Linked DNA regions of Ovis aries. The protein of the gene in region 3 interacts with the protein of the main gene of each other region in a biochemical or structural test. Links are inferred from orthologs where the notes say so. Each region holds a gene or a part of one and is shown on either strand. Other genes may lie near its edges.

Region 1 (4,176 bases), on a different chromosome or scaffold from region 3:
CTGGTATGGGAAGACCACATGTGCTGCAGAGCAGCTAAGCCCGAGTGCCACAGCTGCTGAGCCTGCACTCTGGGGCCAGGGAGCCACAACTATTGAGCACACGAGCCACAACTACTGAAGCCGCGTGCCCTGGAGCCCGGTCTCCACAACAAGAGAAGCCGCTGGAATGAGAAGCCCATCCCATGCACAGCAACTACAGAGTAGCCTCGATCCTCACACCTAGAGAAAAGCCCAGCACAGCAATGAAGACCCAGCACGGTCAAAATAAATAAATGTATCAAGCATCTCCTAGGTGTCAGGGGCTGCTCTAGACTCTGGAACTGTGGCAGTGAACAGAGAAACATAAGCCTCTCCCTCGTGGAAGCTATAAACATGCAAGAAGTGGCAAATCCATCCACTGACCCCTGAAAGTGAAAGTCGATCAGTCGTATCGGACTCTTTGGGACCCCATGGACTGTATGTAGCCCACCAGGCTCCTCTGTCCATGAGATTCTCTGGGCAAGAATACTGGAGTGGATAGCCATTCCCCTCTCCAGGGGATCTTCCCGATCCAGGGATCAAACCCAGGCTCCTACAGGCAGATTCTTTACCATCTGAGCCACCAGGAAAGCCAGCCCAGGCACAAATCCACCATTAATTCCTAAAGCTACCAGGAACAGAGGAGCAAGGAACTGCATGCATATACAGATGTGCACCCACACACAGACACACACGGGCATGGACACACAAAGCCGGACACAGATCTAACAGCTGGTCTGGGTTTTTGTGTGTGTGTGTGTGTGTGTTTTTTTTCTAACAAGAGCCTAAATCCACTGCTACCCTTCCTTGGAGGAGCACTCACTGTATACCAGGCACTTGGGTGCTTGGAGACGTTGCCTAATTGGCAAAGGTGCTCCACAAACCCGGTTTGTCAACTCCAGAGCCCCCACGTGCTTTCTCGTGCATCCCCACTCACCGACAGGCAACTCAGGAACTTCTGTTCCTTCCCTGCCTGACCCCTTCCTCATCGGGACTGATTTCCTTTTATGGAGAAATCTGAAGAAGTAACCCAACACATATTTTGAAAGCAGGGCCTCCGCCATCATGGTGGGAAACCCCAGTTATATTCTCTTCAAGGATTTTCCATCCTTGACCTGCAGCCAGAAAGACGTGCTGTCAAGCCCAAGGAAAATGCTGGGACTTACCCCTCTCCCCATACCAGGGAGCTGCTAGCCCAGGGACACTCATGAGGGAGAATTGGAAGGGAGAGGGGGCAAGGTGCTGGGCTGACCACAGATTAGAGACCTGCCCAGCTGACAGGTAAAAAGGTAGAGGAGGGAGGTTACCAGGGGTTCCTGGGGCGTGGGCAGCTGGGCAGAGCCCTGGGCAGAGCCAGAGAGGTTTGTCTTCTCTCTAGCTCTGATTCTGGGGCAAGTGAATTCTGTGTCCTTCCTGAGCCTCAGTTTACTCCTCTATGAAATGGACCAACAACAGTATCAGCCTCCACGGGCTGCTGCAGAGATCCAGACAGATAAGACCGGCCAGCCCGAGGCATCTGGTGACACCAGCTATAATAATCATAAAAGCCAACACTACTGCTACTACAGCTGCGCTGTTGCCAAGGGCTAGAGCTTGCCTCCGACATCTGGAAACAGAATTCCAGAGTATAAACATGGACCTGAAGTCAGGGGTAGCCGTGGGTCTAGATACCAGAAAGAAAGGGGCGGGTTCTACACTTCCTCGGCCCCTGGGGGAGCGTCACCAAGCTGCTGGGATCTCAAGGGACCACCCTGCCTTCAGTCAGTCACCCTCGATTCTCACTCCAAACCGTCTGTGCCCGGGGCATTTGGCTGTGTGAGAGTGTCCGATGACCCTACTTCTCGGAGGCGACCCAGAGAGGACGTGTGTCCCGTCTCTGGAGCCAGGTGGTGGGCTCAGAGAGGCCCAGACACGGGGGTTCGAGGAGCGCTCTCGGGAGAGGCGCCCGCGGAGGGGCGGGCACTAGGGCAAGGTTCCTCCAGCCCCGGGCCGCATGCGGGTCGTGGAACCGCTAGCCCAGGCGGGCAAAGGCCAAGGTCAGCGGCTTCCCGCCCCCCGCGAGGCCGGAGAAACCGTCCGAGCCACCAGCCCTCCGACGGAGGACGGCACTCCGTCCACAACGGGGGGTGGTTCCATTTTGGCAAAGGGTCCCCTCCCCACCCGCGCGGCTTCCCGCCCGCTCCGGGACCCCCCAGACTCACCTTCTCCAGGGTACAGGTGGCCCGCGGCGCCCACCAGCAGCGCGGCGACGACCACCAGCAGCAGCACGGCTGCCGCCCCGCTCCCGCCCCCGGCGCCCATGGCTGAAGGATCAGAGCGCGGGGCGCTGGCTGGCGGGGTGCATGCTCCGAGGCGGCCGCCCCAGAGGCGCTGGGGGTCGCGCGTCCTTCTCTTCCACGCGGGCAGCCCAAGGTCCCGCAGCCTGCGCCCGGGAGGACTCTAGATACGGCCCCGGGAGGGGCGCGCGGCCTCCGCTGCTACGAATCCGGCAGCGCGGCCGGGTGGAGACGGTCCCGACTCCGGGCCCCCGCGGCCCGCGCCCCCGTCCCGACGATCTCAGGGCCCGGAGCCCCGCGCTGCGCCCCCCTGACTCTAGGCTCTTGGCCCCGAGCGCTCCGGAGCTCCGATCTTCGGACGCGCGGACAAACGGACGTGCGGACAGGCGGGCGGGCACCTGGGCTGGCGGGTGGCGGGCAGGCGGCGGGAGCCAGGGCTGCTCGGCCCGTAAACAACGCGGCCCGTCAGCTGGGCCCCGTTCGGGCCGCGGGAAAAGGCGGCGCGGATCTGGGCTCGGAAGGGACTCGGCGCCCGGCAGAGGCCCGAGAGGGGTGGAAGGAGGACGGGCAGGGGGGAGGCGCCGCCCCGCCCGCCCGCCGGTCTCCCTATCCTGGGCCCCGCGCTGGAGGCCCCCGTCGCGCCGTAGCCGAGGGGGCGCCCTAGATGCCTGCCCAGCCCCAGCGCCCCGTACAGCCCCAGGACTCCTGTCTCAGAGCCCGGGAGCGCCCCAGATTGACCAACTCAGCAAGTCGGATCGCGTGTTTAAAACATTTTGCTAGTTTGTTCTTCGTGGGACTTTAGAAAATTCATTTTTATTTTTTTAAATATTGCATTAAAATATTGTTTATCGTGGTTACTCGGCTTTTTGGTACTCCCTTAAATGTTGCGTTCACCTTCCCCTCGTCACAGTCTGGCCAGTGAGTATGGCCCTCGAGCGCCCCGGATGTCCTACCCCAGAGTGCGCCCCCGCCCAGAGCCAGGCCCCTGGGGACAGCCACGTGCACGAGCGTGCCGCGTGCGCTCAAGTATTGGGTAGCCTGGCCCCTCCGCACGATGCGTGGTTCAAGGTGGAGAAATGACCCTTAGGAGAAAGTGTAGAAACTAGCAAAAAAAAAAAAAAGTGCAAACCAGGCGCTGGAGATCTTCGGTAGAACACAGGTGGACACACCCAAGTTTCAATGCGCAGACCCAGAGTCCGTGTGTGTTTGAACGTCAGTCACGTGACAGTGGCCACCCCGCCTGCTGAAGAGGGGCCTTAAGCACAGAGAAGCCAGAACGGAGTGAGAATCTGCTTGAATGAGTAATTTTTCTCTCTCTCGATGGGCCTCATCTGTATGATGCACGTAAGGACACCTTCAGGTCAGATTTGGTGAGTTGTAAGGGCTTCCCGGAGAAGGCGATGGCACCCCACTCCAGTACTCTTGCCTGGAAAACCCCATGGAGGGAGGAGCCTGGTAGGCTGCAGTCCATGGGGTCCCTAAGACTCGGACAGGACTGAGCGACTTCACTTTCACTTTTCACCTTCATGGATTGGAGAAGGAAATGGCAACCCACTCCAGTGTTCTTGCCTGGAGAGTCCCAGGGACAGGGGAGCCTGGTGGGCTGCCGACTATGGGGTCGCACAGAGTCAGACACGACTGAAGCGACTTAGCAGCAGTAGCAGCAGCAGCAGCAAGGGCTTCCCAGGTTGCTCAGTGGTAAAGAATTTGCCCACCAATGCAGGAGACGCAGGTTAGATTCCTGGGTCAGGAAGATCCCCTGGAGGAGGAAATGGTAGCCCACTCCAGTATTCTTGCCTGGAAAATCCCATGGGTAGAGGCAGGCTACAGTCCATGGAGTCGCAAAGAGTTCGACATGACTGAGCTCGTGTGCATACACACA
Region 2 (4,071 bases), on a different chromosome or scaffold from region 3:
TCCTATCTCAGACATGTACAATTTTAAAGCGCCTCTGCTTTCTTTTGTCAGAAAGGAGGAAGGTGGGGAAAGAACAGAAGGCCAATGCATCTTTGCCTTTCTTCATCTTCTACTAAAAATAAGCTATGAAATAAGCCACTTAGGGGAAGAAAAAAAAAGAAAGACACCCTGCTGTTCTTTGTCTGTTTTCTTCCCCCTCTCCACCCCCCACACCCCACTCCTAAATACGGTGATCATTCTAGATGCCACAACTACTAAATGAACAAAAGGCACTGTATGGAAAAGGCATCAGGTCAAGTAAGGCCTCACCCTCTTTATCCTCAGCCTTCTAAAAAAATATATGTAAGTATATAATTTGAGAATCTGACATTGATCAAAGACAGCTGGAATTCTCTCTCACCCCCATCCCAATTAAACATTAGGTAGAAATTTGCATTAGGTGTGACAGTAAGTCTCAATTCAAGATAAAAATAACTCAAGATTCTGCCACCATGTCATTTCCTAGTTTCTAAACAAAAATAAAACCCGAAACTGCTTTGTGTAAAATGTACACACAGCCATAGTTACAAGTTTTCCTGCCACCTTATGAAAAGCCAACATTACTGGTATTATTCACACATTTACAAAACTCAATCACAGCCACAAACAGCTCATAAAGAGTCAATTTCACTTGTGCCTAAACATATATTTGGTACATAATATATACTTTATTACTTGCTCCTCTAATTCCCACTCCCACCTCCCCCAAATTCTAAACTTCTAACCCTAAACTGAGACGTTCATGTACTGTTCCTAATTTCTAATCAAGTTTTCCTGAGTGAAGAGAAAAACATCTTATTCCTGAAAAGATTATGGGGTGGGGGGGGGCAGAGAAGAATCACTTGCCCAGGCAACTTCCCTTCCATCCCCCACTTCTAAACCAAATGAAAAAAACTACTTTTTTAAAACTTCAGCGAATTCTTTAAGTGAGTGTTCAACAATAACCATTGATCTCTACAAACTGGTAAAACATCCAATCAAAAACAGTAACAATAAAAGGAAGAAAGAAGGAATTCACCTGAAGAATCTAGCCAAACAACTTGAGTTATATAAACAAAACCCAGCAACAGGGGGAAATGGTGGGGGGATGGGGGTGAAGGAGAAACAGAAGCAGGAGACAGGACTTTTTAAACTGCGTTTCACACACTACCACTCTCCAGCCCCGGGTTCCCCCTCTCCCCAGGGATTCAGTCTTTCAGAACCCTGGGCTCCTCTCTCTCATCTCTCTCTAAATTACCCCTCAAAAAATGTCTCGATTTGTCACAGGAACCTTCGCGAATTTCTCTAGCTGGTCATGAAATAATCGGTCTGGACTCCAACCAAAACCACTGCCTGAAGGACTCTTATCAGTTAGAGCTTTCCCACTGCTACCTCCAAAGTACATAAAGTTGGGGTGGGGGGAGTAGGAAAATAAAGGGTGTCACTTGGCAAGAACAGGGCAGTTATTATGAGCACCTTATTCTCATACAGGGAGTTTGCTTAACTGGCTAGTGCAGGGGCTATTTGGTCAAGGAGATCCCCTTTTTCTCCTTCCCCCTCAGCTGTCATAGCCACAATATGGAGGGTGGCTTGCTGGAGGGCCTGGGGGTCCTCACCACATACTATGGGTGGGATAGGCTTTGTCGGTAGGAAGAAAAGAGTGAGGTTCTTCTAAGGACCAGAAAGCTTAATAGGGGTAGCTGATCTAAAATATTCAGAGCTCTTTAATACAAGAGGGGGGCACTGAGCAGACTACTCTCTTCCTAATATAGAAAGGAATTAGGGATAAAGGAGGTCACTTGAGTTACCCCAGTTCAAGAAGCACTGTGAGAGGAGGGAATGGAGGCATCTCAAGAAAAGGAGAAAGGCTTCGCTCTAGGGAATTTCTATCTCGAATCCCCAAATTCAGAGCGAGCAAACAGGAAAAAGAAGGTGGGCTTGGTGGTGAAGAGAGAGGGCTGGTACTGCAAAAAAAAAAAAAAAAAAGGCCCATTTGGGAGTCCAAATGTCGTGGAGAAAAGTCACGGGGGCTGAAGGTGCGGAAAGAGCGTGAACAACGCACATTTCGGGGTGCTGCAGATAAAGGGGGAGCTGAGAAGGATCTCGGCTCCTGGGAGGTGCCAAAGAGCCTCCGTAGGCACTGGGAGGAGGGAGGGGTGGGAGGAAGCCTTGGACAGTGGGCTGGAGTGCCCCTGGGCCCCTGATTAGGTTTCAGGGGGTGCCCCGGGCATCCCCATATCGTCCCCCACGTAGAACCCGAATTCCCCACCCCCCGCCCCGCTCCACGAAGGATACAGCTTGACCACGTCCGTGTCCATCCGCCTCTTGCCCGGACTAGGGGATGACATGGTGTCGCCGCTGCCTCCCCGTCGCCTGCGCCGCCGCCGCCTCTCGCCCTTCCTCAGCCCGCCTGTCACGGGCCCCGGGCCCCGGCTCTGAGGAGCCCGCGGCCGCGCCGGCTCCTCGATGGAGGTGGCAACACCCCCGCGGTCCTGTTTGGTCCCGTCAGCCGCCGCCGCCGCCGCCGCCCCCCGCACGGGGGGGAACACCGGGCACTGTCCGGCCGAGTGGGGGTGGGGACCCCGCGGCGCACGGCTCGGGCTGCCCCTCTCCGGCTGTGGGTTCCGCCGCGGCCCGGACCTGGCGCTCCTCTGCGCCGCGCGTCGCTCCCTCCTGCCTGCTCTAGCTCTCTCGCCTGCTCGCCCGCTCACCCTCTCGCCGGCTCCCAAGCTGCCTCCACGACAAGCGGACGACTCCTGCTCAATCGGCCTCTCTACCCCAGCCTCGCTCTGGGCGCCGTGACGTCACCTCTGTGACGTCATTGGAGGGGCGGGCCCAGCTGGCGAAAGGGGTGGGGTGCCGCGGCGGCGGCGTGAGTTTAGCAGGGGATTCTGGGAGTTGTAGTTCCTCTTTTTCCTGCCCGTCCAGCTTTCTGCCCCCCCTCCCCCAACTCCCTCACACTTAATCGCTCAACTGTCAGCGTCGTTGTCATCATCAAAAACGATAATGATTAAATAATGGCAGTATCATCATATTCATGTGTTTTAGGGTAATGAACCTCCTTCCCACATACACTGTTTAAAAGTCTGTTTATTTGATTTAAGGAAGCCAAGGTGGAAATTAACCCAGACAGTTACCAAAATCTAGAAATTCCTAAACCAGCAGGTCCCCTGCCCTCTGCTCCCACCTTGAAAGGAGAGAATAGCCAGGCTTCTTCAAGCTTGCAAATCAGGGTTTGCTATCCTTCATATGTATAGGGTCATTTTTTCAAGGATTAGAATTGAGACAGCATGATGGCAATTTAGTTGTAACATCTTTACACAGTTATGTGGTGATTTCACAAAGTGAATGACTGAAAGAAGCAGAAGTACCCCAAATATGCTGCTGTTTAGGACAAAGTTTGTTCTGCCTTCCAAACGTCTAGAGCAGGCCTATAACTTCATCATTCATTCAGTAAGCATTTATTGATCACCCATTGTGTGGTAATCACTGCTGGACATGAGGATATCATGGTGAACTAAGAAAGACTTTAAATTTACACAGCCCTCCCAATGTGGTCTAGATCTAGACTGTCAGCATCACCTGGGAACTTGTTAGAAATGCAGGCTAGAGCTTCACCTCAGACCTACTGAATTAGAATTTGCAGTTTAACAAGGTCCCCCGGTGATTCCTTTGTGCACTAAAGTTTGAGAGACACTGCTCTACAAGGCACTCCAAAAGAAGTGATGTGGAATCCAGGAGTCAACCAGGCAAAGAGGGCAGGAAGGAGTGTTCCAGGCAGCTCCTGTATTTATATCACATTTTTTTTCACTGCCATCTATTTTCAAAATTTTTATCTATTCCTTTGTCCCCATGAATACACTTGTAGTCTGTCAAACCACGTGCTGTGAGTTGGGTCCCCTTATGTAACCTCCTATGTATGCACATACACAGAAACACACACACACACACACACATGAACCTGGAGCAGCAGTAATCACCTAAAATTGAATGTTGTTTGCGCCTATCATGTCATCCCCCAAAAGACCCGTTATTGTTGCATGTGTGTGTTAA
Region 3 (4,188 bases):
GCACGATGGCACCGTAGAGGCTAGGGGCTGAACAGAGAAGGCTCTTGGAACATCCCATGGTGAGGAGGTGTGGGGAGCAGTGCTTGACACAGTGCATGATGGGTCTCACCAACAGGCTGGTGTCCTTCTACTCCGAGGCAAGCAGGAGGAGGCCACATGACTTTGGGGGTTGTGAGTCCCCTGATGCCCAGCAGATCCCATCCAATCACTCTTGAGTCTTGGCACGTATTCTCTGGACCAACCCATCTTCCTCCCCAAGGACCCAGGTGTTCTGCTTTACCCCAGGTTTCTTGTCCATCATGTGGCTCAGATGATAAAGAATCTGCCTGCAACGTGGAAGTCGTGGGTTCGATCCCTAGGTTGAGAAGATTCCCTGGAGAAGGAAATGGCAACCCGCTCCAGTATTCTTGCCTGGAGAATTCCATGGACAGAGGAGGCTGGCAGGCTACTGTCTATGGGGTCACAAAGAGTCAGACACACTTTCACTTTTCCCCCTCCTTCCAGGAATCTCTACTTCAGACCTCCAGCTACCTCCTCCCTGGGGCTTAGAGTGGACTGATGCAGACTCTGAAAGACTGTATCCTAACCCGCCTGCCCCTTTGAGCCTTCTGGGCTCCCTGGTGCCCCGTTCCACTTCATGGACTCTCTTCTCTTTTTGCAGATAAAGATGGTTGAGGATAGGCATTCTGGGGTCACCAGCAGAGGGGAGCCTGGGTTGGGTGGGCTCCTGGGAGGAGGAGCCTCCTGCAGTGGGCTAGGGGACTACAAGCCAGCACCCCAAGGGACTGGCAAGGCTGGAGGGGGAGGGATGGTGAGGCTGGGCCCCTGGAGGATTTGGGGGGCCTAAGGGCGGGGTCTACCCCATCTAGAACTCTGGAGACCAAGGAGAAGTGTCTTGCAACGCTGAATTTATGGGCAAAGATTACCCGCCCCCGACTCTCAACAGCTGCCTGAAGAGAGTGGCAGCTTCTCCATCGCAGAGACGGTGGACTGCTCCAAGCCTCCGGACCCCGCCTCCACCAAGCCCTGCACCTGTCGTTTATTCTTCCAACAACCCTATAAATGGCTTCATGACATATCTCCCTGGGCCCGTGTATACACATACACTCCTGTAGCTCTACACGCGTGTGATCTGCCACACGTACGCCAGGCGAGCCAGCGTGTGCCTGCGTCTCCATTTGCCAGTGTCTGGGCATCCGCAGAGATGGCAAACCCTAGGGGGCGCGCACAACTGTGTGTGGAGGCTGGAGGCGTTCGGAACTTCCAGCTCCAACACAAAAACAGCCTGCACTTGGGTCTCGGTACCAACTCGGGGCTGTGCACAGAGTTGCCCGCGCAGGCGTGCCTTGGCCTCCCAGGTCCCTTTGGGTGAGGCTCCATCTGGTAACTGTCAGGTCATTACAAGCTTGGCAGCTCCAGGGGAGCAGGAGCGGGGCGGTCCCGGACAGCGAGGCCCCTCTTATCCAGGGCTACGCCCAGCAGCCGAGCCTGTTCGCGTGGGCCGCGGGCACCGACCCTGTCCTCCGCTAGGGCCCCAGCGAGGCAGACTCCGCTCTGCTGCTGCGCTCCTCTCGCATCCCCGCGTGCGCTCCAGTGGCCGCGCTGGTCTCGCCGAGGCCGGTCTCCGAGCGCTTCTTCCAGGCTCTGGTCTCCGTCAGGCTCCGCCTTCAGCTCATCTTCCCTAGACGCCCCGCCCCGCCCGCGTCCCTGGCATCTCCAGGCGCCCCGGGCCCTGAAGTTGAGGTCGGATAGTCCCGACCCCGACCGGTCCAACCATCCCATCCGACCCCGACCCCCGCCGGAGGGGCCCGCACCTTGAGGCGCGCGTGGGCTTCGGCGGCCGGCAGCAGGCGGTGGCCGCGGTGAGAGCCGAGCGAGGCGCACACGCCGCACACGAGCACGCGGTCCTGCTCGCAGTAGATGCTCAGCGGGTCCAGGTGCTCCTCGCAGTGGCCCTGCGGCACCTGCGCCAGCCCCTCCACCAGACGCGCCAGCTGCAGGTTGGTGCTGAGCGCCTGCGGCCGCGTGGGGGCCTGGCAGCTCGGGCAGAGCACCGTGCCGTCCTCCGCCGGCTCCCCGGCCACGCGGCTCAGGCAGGCGCGACAGAAGCTGTGGCCACACTCGGCCGTTACGGGCGCGTTGAACAGCTGCAGACACAGCGGGCAGGACAGCTCCTGGTGCAGGAGGCCGGGCGCGGCCGACATGGCGGGCCTGCATGGAGGAGGGGTCCGTCAGGGAGGCGAGACCGGGCCCAACCTCCAGAGGCCTCTCAACCCACACAGAAAGGGACTCTGGCTCAGGCCAAGGGAGAAAGGGAGACTCCCTTTCAGGCCCAAAGGCAACCTCAACTGGTTTATCTGTCCCAGCCCACCCCACCCAAATAGCCCCTGTCAGGGACCTGGCTCAACCCCCCTTCCTCAACTTGAGGCTGGCTTTCAAACCCTGTCCTACCCCCAAGTGTCCTTCCCCTGACTTGGCCCCTGGCCTCAGCCCCAATCCCAAATCCTCCAGAGTCCCTGCCCTCTCCTCTTCTCTCACCTCTCCAGGACTCGCAGCAAGCCCCTGTCCCCCTGTCCCTCCCCTTCCCCTTATCCCCAGCCACCATCCCCCACCAGGACCCCTGGACTCACAGGTCTGGCTGGAGATCTTGGCTAAAAAGAGACTCCCAAGAGGCCCAGTCAAGGTCAAGCCTAACTGTAGGTGGCTCAGAGCTGTGTCTCAAGAGAAGCAAGCACCAAGCTCAGAGCAAGGTCGTGGGACACCACGGGTGATGGGCGCCGCACGGTGAAGAGCAGACAGACCCTCCCAGGCTGAGCCCTGGCCCCAGGACTATATATAGGTTGCCCAGCCTATCCCCTCACATCACTTCTGGAAACTGCTCTAAAAGTGAGGACTGAGCAGTCAGCGGACAAGCGTCACATGGCAAAGCCACCTGTTGTGGCCCATCACACTCTGCTGTCCCCTGCCCAGCCTGGAGCCAGAACTCAGAGCTAGCAGAGAGACAGGGCCTCTGAAACCACGGAAAAGACAGAAACCTGATTGGCAGGAGTCTCCGCTTTCTCCCCAACCTCACCGTTTCCAGCCTCCCCTGTTGCCTGCCTGTGGCCCCTCCCCAGCTTATCACCCACTGATTCCCCAAACTTAAGGCACAAAGTCACACGGGACAGAATCTCCTCCAACCCCAAAAGCCTTCCTTCCTGCAGGACTGAGGGGACGCTCTTCCCCCAGCTGGAGTTTCCAGTGCTCAGCACAAGCCCTAGGGCCACGTGGGCCTCCCTCAGTGCTCAGGAAAGGAATGACAGAGGGACAGTTGAATTAATGAATGAGCTATATCCAGGGCCAGAGGTCGAAACTCGATCCTGCTCTGGGAGCCTCGGGGCTTATCCTTCAGATCTCAGTGTAAATTGCATTCAGCATAAAAACCAAAGTCCTCTTACCCTGTTCATCACTCACCTCTCCCCCTGCTCACTCCAGCCTTGCCCTTTGCACTTCTAACCCCCCTGCCTGGAACATTCTTGAAAACCCTGTTATTGGAAGCTGCTGCATAGCACAGGGAGCTCAGTCTGATGTTTTGTGATGACCTGGAGGGGTAGGATGAGGGGATGGGAAGCAGCTCAAGAGAGAGGGGATGTATGTATACTTAGAGCTGATAAACTTTGTTGTACAGCAGAAACTAACACAATATTGTAAAGCAATTATATTCCATTAAAATATAAATAAAACACAGTTTCGGTGTGACCACTTCCCTCCCTCCCTCAGATCTTTCCCCAATGTCACCATTTTCAGTGGGGCTTTTCCTAACTCCCTGATTTTAAATCTCACACCTTCCTTCCTCGATTTATTTTTCTCCATAACATTTATCACAGTCTGACACAAACATATTTCACTTGTTAGTTTCTTGTCTGTCTCCTCCTACCAGAACATAAATTTTGTTCATTGCTCCTCTCCAACTTCCAACAAAGTCTGGGGCACACAGCAGTTGCTCAGTGAACACTCAATGAATGAAAAATCACAAGGACTCACTCTGTCCTTCTCTTCTGACCTCTCAGCATTTTCCTGGATTTATTTCCCCCTCGACCACTCTCTGTCTCTGTTAGTCTGAGTTTCTGTAAGATTCAGATCAATTGTCCCATGAGAGTAACCAGACACCCCCACCACAGGTGAGATAAAAAAAGATGAAATTATTTC

The links.
Region 1: the proteins of TRIM72 (region 3) and INSR form a complex in vitro, tested with the Homo sapiens proteins (2 studies listed by BioGRID). The link is inferred for Ovis aries from reciprocal best matches to the Homo sapiens genes TRIM72 and INSR.
Region 2: the proteins of TRIM72 (region 3) and UBE2H form a complex in vitro, tested with the Homo sapiens proteins (2 studies listed by BioGRID). The link is inferred for Ovis aries from reciprocal best matches to the Homo sapiens genes TRIM72 and UBE2H.

The regions. Positions count from the first base shown.
Region 1 is NC_056058.1:13,933,463-13,937,638, forward strand, and holds the start of INSR (insulin receptor), read right to left. Parts: upstream 2,805-4,176; 5' UTR 2,320-2,804; coding exon 2,220-2,319; intron 1-2,219. UniProt on the Homo sapiens protein: Receptor tyrosine kinase which mediates the pleiotropic actions of insulin.
Region 2 is NC_056057.1:95,429,591-95,433,661, forward strand, and holds the start of UBE2H (ubiquitin-conjugating enzyme E2 H), read right to left. Parts: upstream 2,805-4,071; 5' UTR 2,367-2,804; coding exon 2,314-2,366; exon of another isoform or gene 1-2,313. UniProt on the Homo sapiens protein: Accepts ubiquitin from the E1 complex and catalyzes its covalent attachment to other proteins. E2 ubiquitin conjugating enzyme that transfers ubiquitin to MAEA, a core component of the CTLH E3 ubiquitin-protein ligase complex.
Region 3 is NC_056077.1:27,809,986-27,814,173, reverse strand, and holds the start of TRIM72 (tripartite motif-containing protein 72), read right to left. Parts: upstream 2,806-4,188; 5' UTR 2,631-2,805; intron 2,212-2,630; 5' UTR 2,205-2,211; coding exon 1,815-2,204; intron 1-1,814. UniProt on the Homo sapiens protein: Muscle-specific E3 ubiquitin-protein ligase that plays a central role in cell membrane repair by nucleating the assembly of the repair machinery at injury sites.